3 linked regions of the Lepisosteus oculatus genome follow. The protein of the gene in region 2 purifies or fractionates together with the protein of the main gene of each other region. This does not show direct contact. Links are inferred from orthologs where the notes say so. Each region holds a gene or a part of one and is shown on either strand. Other genes may lie near its edges. The genes, in order: slf1, SMC5-SMC6 complex localization factor protein 2 and smc5.

Region 1 (7,479 bases), on a different chromosome or scaffold from region 2:
TGCAAAGAAGGTGCAATGACTATAAAAAGAGGCAATTGAGGGCGAGGATAAAATTAAAAAGTCAAAAATACATTGCAATATCAGAACAAATTAGGTCAGCTATCAGATCTAACCTTCAGCTGCTATTATTCTAATCAACTGAGTGATAGGTACAGCGTAGCCTTCCATCATTTTAGATTAAAATTCAACTCAATGAAGCTGGCCAGAATCAAAGACCCGAAAGCAAAAAAGTTTGTCACACGCGAAAATCATATTGACGGACGAGCATTTTAATGAAGGGGGTTTCCTCGAGATCCGCTGCCCTCTGCTCCAGGTGTGGTGTAAAGAGAGTGGACGCATGCTTCCTAAAGCTGAGCCAACAGGGCACTGCACCTTTCTCAACCGCGCAGAACAGAACTGTTTTAGAAGACCCACTGCCGATCAGCCGCTTGTTAAACACGACCAAGTGCTTAATCAGAGGTGCAGAATGTCGATCACCGACAGCCATCACTCCTTCTTCTCTGAAAGACCTAACTGAGCTCGTCATTCCCTGACTTCAGGGTGCTGGTCCCGCTGGGAATGTGGGAATGTGGGTTGGACGGTCGTTCCCTTTCCCTTGACAGCTGATTACTGTCTCAGCTGATCCCCCCCAGCTGGTCATTCAAGGAGAACTGGAAGTGCTGCAGAGACACCAGCACTCCGGGAGCAGGACTGGACACAAACCCCAACTCACCGATCCACCAGCGTATATCCCGCCCAGACTGGAAATGCACTTCAGCAAACTCCTCTTCGTCTCTGCGTTTCGGATTCCAGAGATCTGGAAAACGCGTTCCGGCTCGGCAGCCATTCTAGAGAGACAACACATTCCTTGACATCTCTCAACCCCGTTTCTGCAGACTGAAGCTGGTGAGAAAGAGGGAATTAAAACTTTTCACCTCCCCCATGAACTTCACTGTATTTTTATTGTGTTACAATAAAGAATCATAATATATTTAACCGGGAGCTTTCGCCACTGATCGAGAGAAAACACTCTGTAATGTCAAAGGGAAAACGAAATTCTACAAATCCTCCTAAATTAATGATCAATATTTAAAAAAGAAAATAACTGATCACATACTGTACAGTATTCACCCCCTTTTTATCAGTATGTGGGAGAGGCATGCTTGGCAGAAATCACGGTAATGGGTCTGCTTGCTTCAGTTTATCGGCACACTGGGACACCGCAGTTTTTGCCCACTCTACTTTGCAAAATTGCTCAGACTCCCTCAGGTTGGATGGGAAAAAGTTGATGAACAGGAATTTTTCAACTCCTGCCACGGATGCTTGACTGGATTGGGGTCCGGGCTTTGACTTTCCAAGCCACTCCAAAGCTTGGCCTCGGCCGTATGTTTTGGGTCGGTCCAGTGTCCCTTGCAGACTGTCGCAGGTTTTCCTCCAAGATTTCTCTGTACTTTCCGCATCCATTTTTCCTTCTAACGTCACAATTCTTCCAGGCCCTGATGCAGTGACAAGGCACCCATGTCATATGCACAGTTTCTCCCATCTCAGCCATGGAAGACTCTAACTCCTTTAGAAGTGTCACAGGCCTCTTGATGGCCTCACTGACTAGTGCTCTTCTCACACAGATACTCAGTTTTTGAGGACACTCTGTTTCACAGTTGTGCCATATTGTCTACATTTCTTTAGAATGGACTTTATTGTGCTTTGGGGGATATAATGTAATGCCTTGGAAATTTTCTTATACCCTTCCCCTGACTGGAGCTTTTCAATAACCCTCTCCATGACTTACTGTGAAAGCTCCTTTGTCTTCATGATGTAACTTGTGTTGGGAGCTGTAATAATGAACCGTGGGACCTCCCAGAGACGTGTTCAGTTACACTTATCCTGAACGCATGTGAAACACCCTTACTGCGCGCTGGTGGACCCCATCCAACAAATGATGTGACTGGTAAAGACATCTGTCGGCGACACCAGAGCCCACTTAGGCGTGTCATAGTGAAGGAGGGTGAATATTTATGCAAATGCTTATTTTCTGCTTTGTATTTATAACTGATTAAGTAGGATCTGTTCTCACATTCGTTTCCACTTTGACATTATAGCGTGTTTTGTGTTGATCAATGGCAAAAAGCCCCAAATAAATACATTGGGCGTCTATTAATGTGAAAAGGTCCAAGGGGGGGTGAATATAGTACGTTTGCTAGCCGTTTCAAGGTTGTTTCGATCTGGCCTGGAGGAAAACCAATATTAAGATGCTGTACTATTTTCTGTCTTAGAAACACGAACCCCAAGCTTATCAAAAAATGGCAAGTTCTCCTTTCCTTTCAAAACATATTTAAAAAAAAAAGAAAAGACGCCTTTAAAACCATAAGGCTCGCACCTTTTATTCCTCTTCTCCCCGTTGTGAATTAGTTATCCGTGTCTCCTGGACACCCGGCAGAGGTTTACCCCGCAGGGAGAAACCCCACGGTCACTCACCCACACGGGGGGTGAGACGTGAAACTCCTCCAGGTGTTCGGAGCAGGCGACCGCGCTGGCGGAACCGAAACCAAAACAAAAAAAAAATCAAAACAAAAGACACGGAGTCACAGCAGCTGTGACGGGGAGTCCAGAGCCTCACGCCAAAAAGTGAACCACATCACACCGTTCCCACTGCCAGAATTACACAGGGCGCCCGCTGTAGAATAAGTGACACGAGTTTAATAACGCAGTATTTTTAGGGCCGTGACGTACCTTGCAGACCGCTCACATCCCCACCCCTGCCAGCGCCGCTCATTTTAGCGCCAAAAGGTTTCAGACCGCCAGCACGCGCCCGGCCGGGGGCGTACCATCCCTGTACGAGCAGGGGTGGGCCGCCAGAACACCACCCGCAAGGTGACCCCACCATCCACCAAAACAAGTGGCGCGGAAGTGGAATCTGTCTCGAAGAGCTCGCGAATAGCATCAGCCGTGGGGAGGGGGGGGGGGAAGAAAGCTTCTTTCCAGTCACGCACCCGCACCAACCTTTCGCACCCCCAAACACAGACACCCCTGCCGCTTGCGAATGCTCCAGTCTCACCGGTCTCGTGGGGACGATCGGGCGGACTGTTTCACTTCCATAACAGGGGTGAACACGGGCATGTGTCGGCTCCGAACACCGGGATTGACTTTAGATTCAATGTTATGTACATTTTACCAAATATACTTTAATTTTTAAGACGTCACATATATATTGTATTAGTTGATGAATGTTTATGTCTCTGAAATATAATTCGTCGGACCACCTCAAACACCCAGAAAACCGTGATGTGCTAGTCCTCTGCGGCGGAAGTTGATGGTTGTTTCTTCCGGTTGGTTGTTAGAGACGCTCTTAGGCTGTGAGAGGAGTGAGGGTTTCACTTTCATGATGCGGGAAATTAATTTCAATCTGTGTTGCCCGTTGTGGGTCCTGGTACGCTCATTCAGTGTTTCTAGCTGAAACGGAATCCTTTTTGTAAACGCACACGGATGCCTCATAAGCATTTTTTAGTACTGTTTCCAAAAAACGTAAATAAACATTTGACGATAGCCTAGACGCTGGACATAAAACTGTTCAAAGCCACGTCTAAACAACATACAGTATGTGTGTTTTTTTATGATCTCGCTCGGATTTATTGGCGGATATTTTAACAAACGACAACTACAAAATACTGGGGTCGTCGTTTTGATTGGCACCTGCAATAAGTCTATCAGAGAACCGTTGAATGTGTTTTCAAAACTTGGAAAAACATACCTCACCAAAAAATACTGACGACCTCGCACTATAAACAAATGTAAATTAATTTTATTACTATCATATTTATTGCAACTGTTAAATAGGTGGAGCAATGTATGCTCTTGTAACGATAGTTTCAGAATAAAGGAAAGGTCTCAGTAAATTGATAAAGGAATGATTCATTTATTTTGCAATGTGGTTTGAACTCGTGAGTACCAGGGAAACTGGACATTTGTCGCGGTTTGAACCACCGTTCAGTAAGCTGTCAGACACTTTAAGATGATACTGCATTGGCGGTTCCCTTGAGTATTAGACGAGTCTTTCACTCTATGACCCCAGTTTAAAAGTGTGTTTTAAACAGTCATCCATCTCGTCCACAGGCAGTGGGAAGGAAGTCCCGGGACTCGGCCGTTTGACTCAAGGTACTGTGTTCTCTCTGTGCTCCTTGTCTGCTTTTCTACACGTAGTTGCATTGAATACTGTACTAGAAGCGATCAGTCTCTCGGATACAGAAAGCTGACTCACTGCTGTTGGACTCTTCCATCTGTTTAGCCCCCCCCCCATTAAACGACAGGGAGTTGTTTCTAAAGGCCTTAAAATGACAGTTCCTAGACCCCCCCCCCCCCATTTTCTGCCCTCAAAAGATATGTTATCAGAGTGTCTGTTCACACTTAAAGCCCAATAAATGTGCCCTACAGTTTGACAATCCTTTTCTGTTAAGTATTCCTTTGAAAAAGAAAAGCAAGGATCCATCCACCTCTTTCCAAGACAACGTCAACAATCCAGAAATGGATTTTATGACGATTCTGTAGCATAAATAACCTTTAAACAATGAAAAATGGCATTTCTGCTATTTGAATGGAAAACGGAGATAGAGCTCAGGCTTTGACCTCTTCTGATGGGAGGACTCTATCCCAGATTGGTTTGTTATTTTCTTGCTTGAGCTGGGCTGGTTCACAGCAGAGGAAGTGTTCTGAAAATTCAGCCTTTGATGAAGTAAAATATTAACATATTATTTGCATGGTAATACATGTCCTATCTAATTTTTTTAAGGATGTTTCTTCTGTTTTTTTTGGAAGATTTTTTTTATAACAGCGTGTAATGGGCAGCTTTCACCAAAGGTAATAGAATAGAACTTGAAAATTGCACAAGCTTACAACGTGCACAAACAGAAGACTTGAGATAAGTTTGAGTTACATGTGGTTTCACTGTGTATTGTGTGTGTATTCAGTTCACTTAATGCTTGTGCCACCTGTGTTCTACATAGAACACCAGAGCATTCAATTCTGTTGCATTGGCTATGTCTTAGGAAATCTCTACCAGTGTATAAAGACCAGCATAATGGAAGTAAAAAAAAAACTTTTGTTTTTTAAAAAAAGAGGTCTTTAATAAATTGCAGACCTTTGAAATACCTAAAATGTTAGTCTACTCTAATAGTAGTAATAGTAGTAAATGTGCAAACTTGGGGTAAATAATGTCAAGTTGTATGGCATATAATTTAAAGAATCATATTGCTGAACTTCAGAGACGTTTTCAGGAAACACTTGCGTGAGAGGTTTCTCTTGCCCTCTCTGACTGAAACCAGCCTGTTCGCCCTGTGGCCAGAGAAGTTTCAAGGATTTTATTGCACAGCTCTAATTATTAACAGTTTTAAGTGCACAAAGTCAATGCCACATTCTTGAATACTACACAAAATAAAAAGATAAGGCGCTCATTTAAAATCCTTTTAGCAATTAACCTCCACTGTATGCCAAAGACTTTTCTTTTTCTCATAAGAAATATTCACAATTAGCTGTGTTTAACCTTTAACCTACGCTAAACTATGGTATATTCATCAGAAGAAACAGAGATTAATAAATTAAATAGTTTTATTGAAAATCAGCTGGACTTCAAGCACAATTAAGTGAAATACTCAATTTCATTTTTTTAAAATTAGTTCTGTAGCTGTAAGGTGATGGCCTTTGTTATGAATAAAAACTAATGTTTAAACTGGGATCATCACACAAATAGCTATTTTCATTTATAGCGAATAGGAATGAAAGGAGAGTTGCTAGGATTTAAGCTAACTGTTTTCATGATTAAACTGCCTACAGTTTCTCTAAATGCACAGTTTACAATCTGCAGACCTTCTAATTGTAACAGGCTGTCATTGTCTCACCATGGTTGTTACTTTTTAATCTGAAATATATTTTGAGTTATACATTCAGTATATGCATATTTGAATTATGGATTAATTCAAAACCTGTTTAAAGAAACAAAGTATTCATTAAAATTACAGTATATGTTCAAATGTACTTGCATCTTCAATGACTATAATAGTGTCTATCATTCTTGGCTTTGCTTATGCATCTTTTTTTTAAATTAACAAAATATTGATGTAAATTTAATCAAAGGTTTTTGCCTATGTTTTAAAAAAATGCTGCACATCTGCACTGTTAGAACAGGCTGCTAAATATTTTACAAGTTCCTCATTATTACAAGAACAGTATAGGTGGTATGTATGTGAGAGACGAGATGAGCTCGTTTCACTTGATGTGGTAACTGCCGTGTGAATAAATACGTCTTCCCTGTGTGGCAGCTTTCAAAAACTCTGAAGTTTTCACATTTGTTTTCAAAATAAATAATGAAAAAAAAATCTAGTCCGCCTTGTCCTAATTAGGGTTTTGCAGTGACAGTAAAAACTTGACACTTTATCATTGCTTTCGCTTACTTCAGACACATGCAGTGATGTGCAGCCTTTTGTGTAACATATTTCCTTTTTCTCCTTTTGCTCCATAATTACATCGTTGGCTTTCTAATCCCACAAATGAAACCCTGCACATTGCAGCAGGTCCCTTTATAAACTGGCTGCCTGATAGAGGGGCTGGTGGGGGGAGAGAAGAGGAAATAATACAAATACAAGCTTAACTGTAGAGATTGTCAAGTGAGGAAATAATATTTGTCCAGCTGGACAGCTTTCTTTTGTACGGGGTAAATGAATGTTGAGATTCTGTCTTCGAGCTGAAGGCTTTTGTGTCAGGAAGGTATCGCAGGCTGTTTGTAGTTTGACAGGGATTATTAAAATCAGGGGAGATGAAGGGAAGGGAGTGTGAGAAAGTGAAATTGACACTGACACTCTCCATTATAGTCCACTTGACTCATGATGACTGTGTTGATATCATAGATCCCCCAGTGCTGGATTTGCTGTTAGGATATGTTAAGTATCAAGTACTAAAGAATACAGCAGCAGAGGGGGATTGTTTATTTAAAATGAGAATGAAGATCCCTTTTCTGTTAACTCATTACCGTCCTGCAGTCCTTCACCGAGTCTATGCATTTATGATCAGTCCTTGCTTCGCACAGTGCCTCGGCCTGTCTCAAGACAGAAAAAATAAAGGAATAAAACACTCACTCCACACAGGTGTTGGTGTAAAGTCAGACAGATGATACAGTGGATGTATAATCTGCGATCTGCCCATAGGGAAATCAAATAACTGTCTCTGAGATGTCGTAATTTTATGTTTATGTATAACAGAATAAAATAATCCGTTTATTTTTTCATTGAAATGATTCCTGGAATGTGACTGAGTCATTTCACATTTGCCAATAAGGGGAAAATGTGGATGTTCTGGGAAGCCAGGCTTGCGATGTGTGTTGTGCTTGCTTCCAGCTGTCAGAGATGGAGTGGCAGGGAGAGTTCCTTCAAGACCACTGCTTTGCAGGCTGCGTGTTCAGTGGCGTGCCGGGGGACCTGGAGATCCAGCAAGCGCTGCAGGATACCGAGGAGAAGC
Region 2 (7,256 bases):
TTCAGATTAAAGCAGAAGTTTCCTTAACCAATAGAAATTAATTAAATTAATTAATTAAGACTGAAGTTTTTTTTTCCTTTTTGAGACTTAAGCTCTTTGTATTCCTTATCAAGTAAGTGTATAAAAGGTCAGCCGTAACTTTTATTGTTGGAACCATCTTCCTAATTGAGAGGAGGGTGCTTCTCTTTGGCTAAATATACAATAAACTCCTCTTCTGCTCAGCAAAAAGGTCTCCAGGGGATTTTTATTCTACACTAGTAAGGAACTCGTCCTCCACCACGAAATGCATAACTCAAGCAGATGTAGAGAGCCCAGCCAAGGTTATTCAGCATCCCTAAACCTCCCGATAAACATTTAATATCAGAACCTTCCGCCAAAGTAATACAGCACATTTCTTATTCCTGAACAAAAACTCTAGCTCATTACTTAAGATGAATAAAGCGGAGATTCTTGGGAGTCAGAAATAACTTAGAATTTCCCATTGTTTGTCAATTGTATGTTAAAAGGATTCTGAACCAGCAAACATAGCGTTCTGTCACAACAGTCACTTCTGCACCCATATGGAGAGGAGGAACAGCAGACAAGACTCCCTCCAGCCCCTCTTTCATCCTCAGACTCAGTACACACTCCGATCCCGAAGTAGAGCAGGTTCGTCACTGACAGCAACCCTCACCGACTCCACCACCAGCCCGCAGGTGACCGGGAAGATGCAGCGATCGCTGGAGCCCCAGGACTTGGCCGGCCAATCCCAATCCAAACCCCAGCAGCGTTCTCCCAAACATGTGCTTCCACAAGGGGGATAACTGATCACAACAAGGCGACATAAGCCTGGCTTGCACCCTCACCACCTGGATCCCAGTACTTTACTCATTTGTATCTTTTTGTGCTGAGCACCTCAACAGGTTCGCTCTGTGGCTATGAGGCTGACAAAACGAATAACAAAACCAAAAAAGGCTGCTGGGTCAGTCCTCTAACGTGTTACCTGAATATTTCTTCACCTCGGTGCCAAGCACAAACCTGTGCACAAACCCCTCCCCATCCCAGCTGCGGTCGGCTCTGCTGCTGAGCAATATTTTGAACTAGCTCCAAAGAGAAAACTCATTTTCAGAGAAATGAAACTCCAACCCCGCCAAAGACTCCTGCTTAAAGGCGGCTATTTCCCAATAGGACCAGTCAAAGTATAACGCCAAGGCCAGCTCCTCACATAAAGTCATAACCAGGCTCTCTGCCGAACCCAGAGGGTACAAGTTGTACACTTGCTCAAGAATCACAAAGCTAATTTTCTATCAAAGCATTTCAGCGATTATTCTGCCATGTATCCAAATCAGCCACCTTCAGACCTGTTTCCTCCCAGTGGCATCAAGTGAAGGCTAAAAGCTCAAGATGGGCAAATAACCATATCAGCCTAACCACAGCCACCAAAGATCACATCTGCAGAAGGACCAGACCAGCACCCCGATTTATATACACAGCTGATTTTACATCAGTAAAGGTCTACACAGACAGGCGTGGTATTTTCCTGTGTGCGTTTATATGGTGCTGAAGATGATGGAGGGTAGCCTGGCAGTGCAGTGGGTTGCACTGCTGCCTGACAGCGCTGGAGCCCTTGGCTCAGTTCCTGGGCTGCTATCTGTGTGGAGTTTGTATGTTCTCCCTGTGTTTGAGTGGATTTCCTCCCACAGTCCAAATACACAGGTCACAGGTAAATTAGCTTCTGGGAAAACTGGCCCTGGTGTGAGTGTATGCGTGTGCGTGCCCTGCGAAAGATGTGTGTGTACCCACTGTTTGCTGGGATAGACTCCAGATAACCTGTGACCCCGGATTGGAAAAAGCAGCAAGAAAATGGATGGGTGAAGGGGACAGACTGGGATTAAGCCACTATGTTGTCAAATTCTGTTCTCCTTATCAGCGGAAATATATCAGCCCATAAAATAGCTAGTCACCCGACTCATTTATAAGTGCAACCTACCCTCCAAGACATCTCTGATAAAGTTGAACATCTCTAAGTTGGCAACAGAGACAGAGCTTAACAACAAAAACTTCACTCATTTTAAAACAGCAGCAGAAAACATGCTATCAGCAGTAAACAAGGTGACTTAAGACAAGACCACGACAACTAACAGGTAGCTCATCACACAACTCATCACAAAAATAAAGTTTGCTATGGCACAGTGCTGTGACAGCACTACTGGCTCACAGATCTGGACTTTGGGTACTTTCTGTGTTAAGTTTCTACACATATACGCACGGATTTTCTCAACTTTCAAAAACATGCTGGCAGGATCACTGTCTCCCTACATACTGTGTGTATCCTGAGAAGGTCTGGTGACCTGGCCAGGGTATTCTCTCCTGCTGGCACCCCGTGACTCAGAGATAGGTTTCGGTTTGGCGAGAGTTTGGAGCGCCGCCTGTACTGAACTGAACTGGAAGGACCGGAGCCCCCTGTCCCGCGCGACACGGGGGGCCCTGCCGGGACAATAACCAGTAAGTGTGGAAAAACGACAAGCAGTCAGGATATGCGCAGTGGCACCTCATAGACAAAGCATCAAGTGATCAAGCGCACACACCACACACCCCCCACCGAGACAGTCACAAGCTAAGCTGGTCAGGATGATCAACTGTGAATGGGTTGTGCTCCGCAGCCAAAAACGACCCACTGTCGCCATTCGAAACGCAACGCAAAAGCAGATTTCCCAGCTGAAATCACACGAGGATAACGGTGTCCATCCGGGCAGCACACTACTTTACTTCTGACTTCTCCTGGCGGGAGAACAGCCTCACACCGGCCAACCACCGCCAACCGGTGCTTCAACTTGCAGTGGGGTACATGTAGGACTACACCCTAAACACGGAACAGCAGCTTTTTCAGAAACAGCACCGCTGTCCAAGTCAGCAAAGGTCAGCTCGCAAGTCATGGACGAGAAAAAAGAAGAAACGCTCGGTCTATTTAACTTGTTATGGCCAGCGTGAATGCTTTCCAACAACTACACAACAGACGCAGCTCAGTTGTGCCGCAAAGCTTCCGTTGCTACTCCACACATTTCAGTGCTGAAACGACTTACCCTCCAGTTTGCCCCAGCGGCTTTCTCTCTTTCATTGTGGGGGGGAAAAAGGAGTTAGAAAACTCCTGTACCCATTCCGAGTCTCGGTTCTTTCTCTCAAAAATGAATTAACCCCTCTCCCGCCCTCAATTCACCGCTCTCTGGACAGCCCCGCAGCCGCCATATTTTCGGTGCTGGTTTCGAGCCGGTGACGTAAGAGATCTGGGCAAATGGAGAGCTGACAGCCGCGCTCACGTCGCGCGGGACTGGCGCAGCTTCTGCGCAAAACCCGCCCGAGAGTCTTCGGAAGTGACGTCACTGGCTCTCGCAGCCTCGAGCGGTCAAAGTCTACGCAGACATGTAAAACTTCAGATGTGAGGACTTTGATGTTTTGTTTTGTAAGGTGTACCACCGGAAATGTATTCATAATAAATCTGTTATTAAAAATTGGTAGATACATATCATATGCACGAAACATTTGATCCGGTGCTACCTCCCTCTTTTAATGTCCATAAGGAGGAAATTCAGTATTATCTAAACTCGATTATACATGAAAACTAAGGCAAAAAGAACAAAGATATCATGTTATTTAATGAGTTCGGATTTGTAATTTGTGATTGGGAATCCTGTTGTTCCGAGGCTCTATTGGTCAAATTTCTTTCTGGGTACTGGAAAATCCTTATTCGTATAGATGGATACTCAATAGAGCTGGAGGGAAAACAGTCCGCGCAGATGACGCATCTCCTGGGGGGGCAGTGCGCTGGAACAGCCTCTCATGCCAAACAACTCAGGAGACTTAACTTACAAAGAGGTGTGTAGGCAGCCAGATACGAAACCTCAATCCAGGCGCTACTGCCACCTACTGCAGGGGGTAGGAATTACTTTCAATTCCCGTGAGGTTCTCTTCGCTATTCAAGGTGAAAAGAGTTCAGTTCCTTCTGGCTTCCTATCAGACTGTCAGCGTGGGACAGGGCCTTCAGCCCCAGTATCTGGTTGCTTCTTTCTGGACTGATGCTGGAACAGCGATATATTTTCTATAATATGGCGACCAAAATTGTACACAATATTCTAAATTACATTTCACTAGTACTGATACAGTTTTAACACATTTAAATTCTATGCTTTTAACTGTATACCTTAACATGTTTTTCTTTTTTTTCTTTCTCCACATTGTGTGGAAGAAGTAACTGATGTGTTTTTAATAAGTTGTCTCTTCTGTTTCATTGTTTCCCTTTTTTTATTTACAGTGTATGTTTTTACTACCTGCATGTGAAACCCTGCACTTGTCTCCATTAAAAATAATCTGACAGGTGTTGGCCCAGTCTTGAATTTTATCAAAGTCTTTTTTTATTGAATTTGGGGCTTGACAGTTGTTTTTACTATATTACATTCACCTGGGTCTAACATAACCACTGAAATAAAATGAAAGGCCTTGATTAAAATTCCAACACAGTATAAGGAAGAAATTAATGTGAAGAGTAATTGTTTTTTATTAGATATTGGCTAGAGCTGAGATAATTAATAACAATTCCTTACACTTATATAGCGCTTTTCTGAATACCCCACTCAGGAAATGGGGATCCCCTCCACTACTACCAGTGTGCAGCCCCACCTGGATGATGCAACAGCAGCCATAGTGCGCCAGTACACTCACCACACATCAGCTATCAGTGGGGAGGAGAACAGAGTGACAAAGCCAGTTCAGAGATGGGGATTATTAGGAGACCAGAGGGGAATTTGGGTAGGACACCAGGGTGACAACCCCTACTCTTTTCGAGAAATCTTTAATGACCACAGAGAGTCGGGACCTCAGTTTTATGTCTCATCCGAAGTACGGTGCCTTTTTAAAATATAGAGTCCCCATCACTATACTGTGAAATTAGGACCCACATAGACCACAACTTATTGCTGAATATGTATATAAATATGCACATGATTACAAAAAAGCACCAGCACAATTATAATGGAAAAGTAATTGTACTTGCCAACAACAGTTACTGACCATAAGGGGAAATTGTTGCATGTGTGTTAATATGAAAAGAACAATAGTGCTACAGTTAATGTTTCCTGAAATTTGAGGAGGTGGCGCCCTTGTGGTTGTAGTAAGGATAAGGAAAGATTCTAGATAAAAATAAATGAATTAATTATTGTAAAGAAGCAGTGAATCTTTCAAGAGGTCTTAATGTTTCGGTCATTAAGTTAGGCCATTGGTTAATGGAGATGTTTGGCCTGTGCTTCTAGATGGTATTATTAGTTTTAAGGTGTGACCGACATAAAAACTGAGAATTGCTGAAGTTAATAGAAGAAATACCTTCAACTAAACATACAACAAGGAGACAGGAATGTTACAGCCCAAGATGACAGATGTCTCAAATATTCTCCTGAAACTGGATAATTGTTGGCCAATACCAAAAGACAAGAAAGCAGCTATCCAATACATTGTGAGCAGATAGCTACTCTTATTTTCATCAGGCTGGAGGATAATAGGCTTTTAGCTGTTTAATGAACTCAGTGCAAACGTTTATATTGAATGGATGACCCTTTTCCCTCAATGGAAGCAAACAGGAACAGAGTGCCGGAAACCCACATTTCCTGCAGGGTATTAACAATAATCAGCAGTTGTGTTGTACCACTGTCATGTTCAAGTAGCCTTATACACAACAGATACAGGGCTCAGAGAAAACATCCTCCGTGCAAAACTCCATTCCTATTTTTGTTTCCACTGGGGGAGGAAGGTTCACACAACCTCATAGCAATCTTTAAGAGAAATATGCTTATTTGTGCGCACCTACAAACCAGTTACTTTGCAAACTCTGGTGCTTCACTGCTTACCGGTGAGCCTCATTGGGCACTTACAGATGTCATCAGTAGCCAGACCTTAGTTAGAAACAAAATCCAGTCTTTCTGTTAGCGGGGATTAGGATTCCATTGGTAAAACCAAATATTGGATATTGGAGAAACACCATGAGTCATATTAAAAATACAAAATGAGTTAATAGCAGTTTAAAAGTAGTTTCAATGTGTCAAGCTTTTTCAACAATTCATCACTAACTAATCTTACAACAGCTCTCTAATTATTTATCCGCTATATACTTCCAACAATTGAGACGGGATGCGGACGCACACTTAAAGACAAAGTCCAAGATTCAAGATTTTGTATTTGCCATGTACAACAAGTGTATTGGGATAGTTCAGATGGGTAGCTGTGTCAGCGTGTGTAGGCCACAAAGGAACAAGCAAAGGTTTATTCCATACTGAAAAGAGGATAAAGGTGTCACCTGAAGAAGGCTCCACAGCCTTTTCCTTCTTCTCTTTTCAGCATGGAATTAACCTATTACTTCTTCAGGTGTATTGGATTGCTTACTCGTTCAGCTGTACCCAGTATCAGTAGAGAAAAAAAACCCTTGTTCAGTTTTAACCAATTTAAATGCTATTTGAAATCTACATGGAAATGCAAACATGAAGAGAAGGCCCAGAATGTCAATTACCCAAATGAATCACACCCATTACTGATTGGGAAATCACAGGTGAAATAAAACACCTCCTTTATCTGCACGTGTTGCCTACAGCTGATGTGGGAGTGGGAATTCAGGGACGTTTTTGCTTCTGTGTGGGTCTGTCTTGTTTCCGAGAACTCCACGCACTTTTTTTTTTATTGTTACACATCGATGACAGAAAATAGGTTTATCTTTGGGTGTACATTCGTTCTCTCACAGTACAATCTGTAAAACAGATGGGAGTTCTTTCAAGATCCTGAGGGATGATTCTCAGGATGGAAGCTGATAAAGATAATGGAATTCTCTCTCATTAGCTGGTATGAGTATCGAATCTCACTGGCGGAGCAGAGGAAGGCCCAGGGCTCTTCCATTCCGATCGGGTTAGTTGATGACAGGAACATTAATTTAGACCAATCAAATCTGTAACCTGCAATGTAACCAAAATTATTTATAGCACTGAAAAATATGGGTGCAAATATTATTTGTAATAGTAATATTTGATTGTTGTAAATACAGTAATATATCATCATGCATATAGAGTGGTTTTATGTCTTGTTTAGGTTTCTACACATTTAGATGGATAGCCACAGCCAAAGGTTCAATAAAGACAGAAAATAGCCACAGGGATCTTGTCTAGGTCTTCTAAATAGCCTCAAGACTTGTATAATGAATGCATTTGTTATTACAGATGGTGAATGAAAATGATGAAACATTTTAA
Region 3 (7,839 bases), on a different chromosome or scaffold from region 2:
CTGAGGCAGAAACTGACACAGATTTCCAACTTGTATTTGAAGTGCTTTCACTGCCTCTTCCACAGTTTTCTGACTTGCATGTTTGCCATTGATCATCCATGTGGACTGATTGTTTTCAACGTGAATTTCTCGATTTATCTTAAGATTGCCTTCACACTTGTACCTACAAAAAAAATTGTTTAATAAGATGAAGTACTTTTAACAAAAAAAACTCCATTATGCTTGGGTAATACTTTAGTTAAACAATTTTAAGAAAAGTTGCAGATTACCTTTTGTGTCCCTTTCCACAAAAGGACGTTAATTTTTGAAAATGCTTTAATAGTTCAAATAAACTGCACATTCTGCAATTCATATTTCTGCCCAGAACATATATTTTAGGATCTACTATCAACTATCAGGACTTTTTACTTACAATTCAATTTCAATGGAACCCTTGCTGCACCCTCGTTTTACATAAAGACCAACCTAAAACACAAATATTACTATTAAATCATTGTAAGCACAACAGCCTTACATTAGGAATTAACAAATATACAGTAAACCCTTACTATTACAATTAAGTAAATTTACAAACAAAAATGTAGACTGCTGGGCACAAACAATAGATTAGAAAATTAATGGGGATTGTGAAATGCCGGAGCTAAACCTACCCTTTTAAAAGCCAGGTCCAAAGTAAACTTTCAAGTTTGACTTTGTATCCCTATGAACGTATTACAGATGAAGAGTAAAAAATGTATTTCCTTCACAGAAGGGATTTATTTTTAACTTTTGTAAATTTTTAGGAACAATATCTGTTTCACCTGAGATACAAATAGCACCTACAAGTGGAAAAAAAAACAGAACAGACAACTAAAATTCTTTAATTTAGGGATCAAAAGGCGGTGTGCTGCTCTGTGGTCCTGAAATCCACATTCCTTTCTAACCACCTGACAGGAAACGAACAGGGGGCTATTGGTGCAAGCAGCCCAAGCCAAGCTCCCAGTTACACCACTGAACCCTTAACTGACTTACAAATAGAATTCATTTCAATTGCGAGTCTGTTTTCATGTTCTTAAACATGTTGAAATGGGTTTCTCCACTTTTCAACGGGCCCACTTCATAAAAAAAAGACAATCCCAACCTTTGGGGTAGGCAAAAAAAAAATTACCCATTAGCCATCAAGCAACTTGTTGGTTCAGTAAAAGATCCGGGTAGGTATCCAGGTTCAGGGGAAATGAACACCAGCAGGAGTGTGGTTCACTAGGAGCAGGGTGGGGAACTCTGGAGTTACTCTACAGTTCTGGGAAATCGGACATTCATTCTAACTCCACAACTGTAAAGTACCAACCCTTCCTAGAGTGCCTTGAAGAAGATGCCAGGAGGTCCAGGCCTCTTCTGTTCAACATAAGCTAAAGGCTTTGGCTGACAGCCTGACTTACATGATGTACTTTCTGTTCCGAGAGAGACACGTTTGACTTCAAGGCACCAAATTTTCATGAAAAACCGCAGCACTGAGGCTCTGAAAACGGACACTACCCCCTCTCGTAAAATTCATACCCTACAACATGAAAATCCAGAAACTAAACAACTCACTTTATCGCCTCTTCCTAAAAATCCTGTCTTTCCTGCGAGCCCCAAGCAGATGGCACAAACTATGCTCGATTTCCCGGTGCCGTTAGCTCCCACAATCATGTTCAGATTCGGTCCTGGATACACGTCACACCTGTCATAGGTTCTGTAAGAAAAAAAAACAACAAAACCGACCATGCCTTTTCATCACTTTAAAAGTGCCTTTTTACAAAACTTACCCATAACAGAGGTCAAACCAGACTTTCACTCCATGAAACTACAGAAAAGAGTGTAAAAGCATCTCATCGCATTCAGATATACAATGGTAAAAGGGGCAACGTCTGCTCCTTTTAGAAAGTACACTGTTCTTTGGTAAAAGACAGTCTCTGAAGGGTACACTTGCCACCTGTCTGAAGCCAGAATGCCATGGTCGCATGTAAACACAGGGACGCTTCTGCCGGGAGAGCCTTTTTTTGTTGTTTCATTAAACATATATCTGGGATATCTGAGCGTTTGCACATTTATATAGCGCCTTTCTGGACACTCCAGTAAAAGAGCTTTCCAGGCAGTGGGAACTCTCCTCCACCCATGTGCAGTACCCGCCTGGATGATGCACCGTCGTCATGAATTAACTACCGAGAGCTGTGTAGACATCATGCAGACACAATGGAGGAAACCTGCACACAGTCCTGTGTGGGATACCGTTGTTCAAGCGCTTCACGTACATATTATATATAATACGAGAACCTGTTTCATTCCCCAGTAAAGGGGAATTCTGCGCCAGCAGGACCCTAACAGTAACACAGATCTTGTGAAGAGAGAAACTGCTTCACCTATAAGGTGAATAAAAATAAGGTGGACTTCACGGGTCTACAAGCCCGGAGAGCAATTCACCTACACCACTGAATAGAAACATTGCATCTGCAGTATAATAATAATAATAATAATAATAATAATAATAATAATAATAATAATAATAAAAGTGTCAAGATTTCGGTTTAACATAATAAATTCGCTAGTTTGTTTAGCCCTTTCAGCAATGTGTTTGTTTGCCTGTTTTCGAACACCAGCGTATTTTTATTTTTCTATTTTAGGAGAACATAAACCAAACGGCACCTGCACCACCAAATGATGCGCGTTTCAAAAACGTTTCTTCCGATTGATTCTTCTTCAGCTGCTAAGCTCAGGTGCGAGATTAGCAAGCCCAAATGAAATGTGAGCACCAACTTTTAAAATATTGCTATTTGTGCACGTTACGCCTCTTTGATATCATAACGAAACTCAAGTCTCAAAAAGTAGAACGCAGCGGCAGTAAGTTGGCGTTGTGCCGCTGTTCGAGCATCTTAGCGCCCGTCTACTTACAAGAAATTTTCCATTGAAATCCTGACAATGGACCCCTCAACAAAGTGGTCTTTTTTGTCATCTCCAACTGAATGAAGCGTATTGTTTGCTCTCGAAGTTGAAGCGCCTTCACTGTTGTTGCTGTTCGCGAACTGGTGACTGACTCGCTTCCTCTTGTTAGAGGCCGCCATCTTGACGAATAAAAAAACTGCTCGCGTTGTGACGCAGGCGAGGGAAGCACCAGGAGGTTCCCGCCTGCCGGAAACCTTCGCTATTGGTTATACTCCCAGCATTTCAACCAGGCAGACCGTGACGTACAAACCGGTAGAAAACAAAGTGAGTTTTCTGACACGTGGTGTGATGCTGCCGTTGTGTAACGACGGATTTAGAATACCTTGTAAGTCTCCAAAGACAGCAGCAAAGGTCGACATAAACACATATCCTGGGAAGAACAAGCTGGTGTTTTATTTTTCTACAGTATATTCTGTACAGTTAGTTGCACGTCTGTTTTCAATTGCCCTATTAGCCAGCAACCATATCACCCTGCATCTCACAACTGGCAGCCCACTTAAGCTCAGCAGGTGTGAGCCTGGCCAGTACTTGGATGTGAGACCTACTGGAAAAACTAAGGTTGGTGCTGGAAGAGGTGTTGGTGCAACCAGTAGTGGGCACTCACCTGCAGTCTGGGTGGGTCCTAATGCCCCAGTATAGTGACAGGGACATTATACTGTAAAAAGGTGCTGTCCTTTGGATGAGATGTAAAACAATGGTCCTGACTCTCCCTGGTCATTAAAAGTCCCAGGGTGTTTCTTGAAAGCAGTAGTGGTGTTACTCTGGTGTCCATATGAAGATCACTTTATTAGCTGAATACAATTTCTTGCATTAGGAATTTGTCTTTTCACATACCCCAGCTTAGCCTCAGTGCCACCGCTCCATGATCCAATACCCCCTTGGCCATTACCAATCATGGCCTCCAAATAATCCCCATCTATACATAGATATTGGCTTCATCACTCTGCTGTGTTAGGTTTGGGTTTATAGCTGAGAGACAATTGCATTGAACTCTTTAGCAGAATATCATACATGTCATGTTTCCTGATTTTCCATCCAGCTGAACTCTAAATCTGCAGTGCTAATTGATGCCTTTAATGGATAACCATGATTGTTTAGTTTTTTTTATTTGCTCCTGCAGTAGCATTCAGCACTACCCCCACTTGAAAAGTGCTGTTTCCAACACCCTCAGCATAAACAGACCATTAAACAGTTGAAACCCAATTTGCTTAACCAGATTTCTGACCAGATAGCTCTTGACACCATATCAGTTTCTAACAATCACACTCAGGCGATTGACAATAATTCACACACTCCCGCAGTCAGAGGTTCTGTCAGCTACATCGCAAGCAGCACACCTTGAAAGAATGTAGCTCTGTAACACAAGCATTGGTTCAGTGTGGATTCCAGTACCAAATGTACATACTGTATATACCCAAAACAGAAAACTGAAATCAATTAGCCTGTAATTTAGAACATGACTGGAGCAAAAGCCAGAGAGAGGACACAGTATTCCTACAGTACCAGGGCTAGAATTCACTGGTATAACATGTGCAAAACACATGTCTTTTAACAGCTTAGAGACACTCTGACAAACAAGCAGCTTAGAATGTGCTGAGCATATTTGATCTGGGGAAATCACAATAACAGCACTTCTTGCATGCATGGGCTCACAGAAATGAGAGACTTTCTGATAAGGGATAGATAGTAACAGTGCAAATTTTCCCAGAAGCCAATTAACCTACCAGTATGTCTTTGGACCCCACACAAAGAATAGTGAAGAATAGTACTGTTTTCTTCCACTAGATGGGAGTAGAGCATTAGGGATGTTCACAGGAAAATTAAAGATTTTAGTCCATCAAAGGTTTGGTATATGGAACTACAATGAGAATCAAAAGAAACACCATTTCCACCTTCAAATTCACTACGTTCTGATCAGAAAAATTTGTAGTAGGTGCAAAAGAGATAATATGGCTCAATTCTTAATGCTGATAACCATTTGTTATTACTACATTGCCCATTCGCTGGTCTCTAAGCCCTAGATGTTATGTCACCCCAGATCATCCCACGAATGTCCAGTTAGTCCAGTTAGTCTCTAGCCTGGCAAGTGCACCCAAACCATAAGATCCACATTCTCACTTCTCAGGCAAGTCACTGTTACACGAGCATGAGGAGCTGGGTGTTCCTGCTGGACAGTTGTCATACCAGGATGAGCCCACAGGAGGAGGAGTAGGTGAAGGCCAGGCCTTTATCAATGTAGGGCAGTGCAGTCAGGTTACTCTTAGGGGGCTGGAGAGCTATCAATCACTATGAGTGAAACCGTGCCAAAACAGGAACTGATGAACACTCCATGACACCTGGTGGCATTCCATTATTCTGCATGTGTGCCCATCAGCGTGGGCAACATAAAACTGTGGTTCACTGCTAAAAGGGACTTGGCTTCACTGTTCGCAAGCCAACCTAAAGCCTCTGCAACATGCTGCTGGCAAAAAGCTGTTGTCCTCTTGGTAGGTGGGCCATATGGGTCCTTTCTTTGTTTTGCAATTCTTGAATTTCACCACTATTTGACATTTAGCTGGATAAATCAACTCATCACCTCCGCCCAGTCAGCTCTCTCTCTCATGAGGTGATTTACTGCTTATGCAAGTAAAGTGCAACGTCATGGGCACTCGAGAGTAATCACAGAGTCAGGAATGCTCCATTACTCCAAATGATGCCTAAAACAGCTAATCAATATACAAAATCTGTATACTGGATTTTCTAAAAACAAACATAGTGTAATAAGGTTTCTATGAATGCTGAGAATACAGTATTTCACTTGATGTAAATGTATGAACCCAAACTGTTTTGGCACTGTAGTTTCCTTGTGATTTATTAAATTGCCCCTTTTAATGATGTTTACAATGTGCAAGTATTTCAGTGGGTGAGTCCTAGAAGTGAACTCTGGTTTAAAGCATGTGTGCTGTTTGTATTTTTTTAGTTTATCTATTAGGGCAGGATGACACTACTTCAGTCCTAGAAAGATGATGTACAGGTTCTCTTTCCTTCCAAGCTCTTAATAACTTCAACTAGCTCATTATTGGCTTAATCTGATCACTTTGACCAACAACTCCCAGTACATAAGGTGCTGCTGTTTTAATGAGGCCTCGAAAACCTAAAAACTCATGATCTCTCCAAGACTGAGTTGGATTTAGACTCACCTAGCTATAAAACTCAGCAGCTATGTCATCTAAAAAAATAATTAATAGAATAACACTGGAACATTCATCTGAAGCTTGTATTTAGAGAAATTCATTTGTTTTACAATTCTATTCTATTCAGCACTGAGTGAATTTGAAGTTGAGCCAATAGGAGTCCAGTAGCCTTCTTTTGTAAAAACTTATACTTTTCACTTCATTTTCAATCAATGTTGATATCAATGAAAATACTTGAGGAGGCTTTGTAGCAGTGTGACACTCAATAATGAGGTGCCTGCCAGCCAATGAAATGAAGGCATAAAAAGTATGTTGTATGGTTGACATACTTGTGGTAAATGTTAAAAAATAAAAAAGTTAGAAAAATTAAAAACAGAACTGACACTTATGTAGTTCCCAGTATTTTTTTTAATTTTAAAAACACAACATTTGTTCTCAATAATAATAATAATTTATTAGTGATTTTCTGTAAGCCAAAAGCACTGTGCAATAGCAACCTAATTTTATAAAACAGTTATATACATTTTTATAAAACTGGATCAAGTTAAATATTTTAATGTTTGTGAAACTAAGAGTAAGATTACAATTGTAAATGCAGATAAGACAGAAATCAACCCATTTACTGTAGTAAACTGAGCTCATGTGGCTATGAAAACCTCATTAACAACACCAAACTCCTTACAATATATAACATTGTCATATACTTATACTATACATTAGTATTTCTAACTCAATTACCTTGTTTCCTTGATTGATGCTAATATTTAAATAATTCAGGTGGGTAGCTGCGTCAGCATGCGTAGGCTGCAAAGGAACAAGTAATAGGTTTATTCCATGCTGAAAAAAAGAAGAAAGAGAACACAATGTTTCGGCCGTGGAGCCTTCTTCAGGTGTGACACCTGAAGAAGGCTCCACGGCCGAAACGTTGTGTTCTCTTTCTTCTTTTTTTCAGCATGGAATAAACCTATTACTTGTTCCTTTGCATATTTAAATAATGTCAAGTGCATATATTTTTAAATAATTACTATGCTTAGTAAATAGATTGATATATTTTAGCACATTTTCTCCTCAAATGCTAATTTCAAATGTCTTATTTACAGTATATACTGTAGTTACCTCATATATATTGTTTGTCTATAAATACAGACATACAGTATATAAGACAGAAAAAACTACTCAAGGTGAATGACTATGAGTATGACATGCGACATGTGAATGTGGTGTTTGCGCACTAGTTCTCTTGATTTTATTAGACTGCAGCAATGTCACAGCTCAGCAAAGAAGAGAGGCTTTACACTCGAGGAATTCTGCTCGCAGAAGCCTAGCAGCATGAAGTCATTAGATGATTCAAGGTTCATCGACTACCTTCACAAGACTCTAGCAATACTATTAACTGACATGATGTGTGATTGACCCCGTCTCACTTAGGATCACCAGACTCAGAGGGACAACTCAAGGTAATGTATTGTATATCAGAATAAACACATCTGTCTCTGTGAAGGTCCTCAGTCAGGTAGATTTGAGCTTTAAAAGCAACTCAGGGACAAAAGCATTGAAGGGCACAGATCAAGAGAAGGGAATAAAAAACTTTCAAGGACACCTTGACCACAATGAAGTCAATCATTAAGAATTTGAAGGTATATCGTACCACCCAGAAACTGCATTGATTAACATGTCCCTCCAAACTGAGCAGACAGGCGAGGGG

Evidence for each region.
Region 1: the proteins of SMC5-SMC6 complex localization factor protein 2 (region 2) and slf1 purify together in Homo sapiens (co-immunoprecipitation; 3 studies listed by BioGRID and IntAct, with this or other methods). This does not show direct contact. The link is inferred for Lepisosteus oculatus from reciprocal best matches to the Homo sapiens genes SLF2 and SLF1.
Region 3: the proteins of SMC5-SMC6 complex localization factor protein 2 (region 2) and smc5 purify together in Homo sapiens (affinity purification with mass spectrometry; 3 studies listed by BioGRID and IntAct, with this or other methods). This does not show direct contact. The link is inferred for Lepisosteus oculatus from reciprocal best matches to the Homo sapiens genes SLF2 and SMC5.

What each region holds. Positions count from the first base shown.
Region 1 is NC_090698.1:73,865,287-73,872,765, reverse strand, and holds the start of slf1 (SMC5-SMC6 complex localization factor protein 1), read right to left. Parts: upstream 3,016-7,479; 5' UTR 2,921-3,015; coding exon 2,710-2,920; intron 2,510-2,709; exon of another isoform or gene 2,357-2,509; intron 883-2,356; coding exon 713-882; intron 1-712. Other genes in the region: uncharacterized protein KIAA0825 homolog, read left to right, coding at 7,368-7,479. UniProt on the Homo sapiens protein: Plays a role in the DNA damage response (DDR) pathway by regulating postreplication repair of UV-damaged DNA and genomic stability maintenance.
Region 2 is NC_090699.1:45,370,210-45,377,465, reverse strand, and holds the start of SMC5-SMC6 complex localization factor protein 2, read right to left. Parts: upstream 3,108-7,256; 5' UTR 3,098-3,107; coding exon of another isoform or gene 3,063-3,097; intron 1-3,062. UniProt on the Homo sapiens protein: Plays a role in the DNA damage response (DDR) pathway by regulating postreplication repair of UV-damaged DNA and genomic stability maintenance.
Region 3 is NC_090698.1:58,127,423-58,135,261, reverse strand, and holds the start of smc5 (structural maintenance of chromosomes protein 5), read right to left. Parts: upstream 3,103-7,839; 5' UTR 3,081-3,102; coding exon 2,911-3,080; intron 1,715-2,910; coding exon 1,573-1,714; intron 466-1,572; coding exon 413-465; intron 164-412; coding exon 1-163. UniProt on the Homo sapiens protein: Core component of the SMC5-SMC6 complex, a complex involved in repair of DNA double-strand breaks by homologous recombination.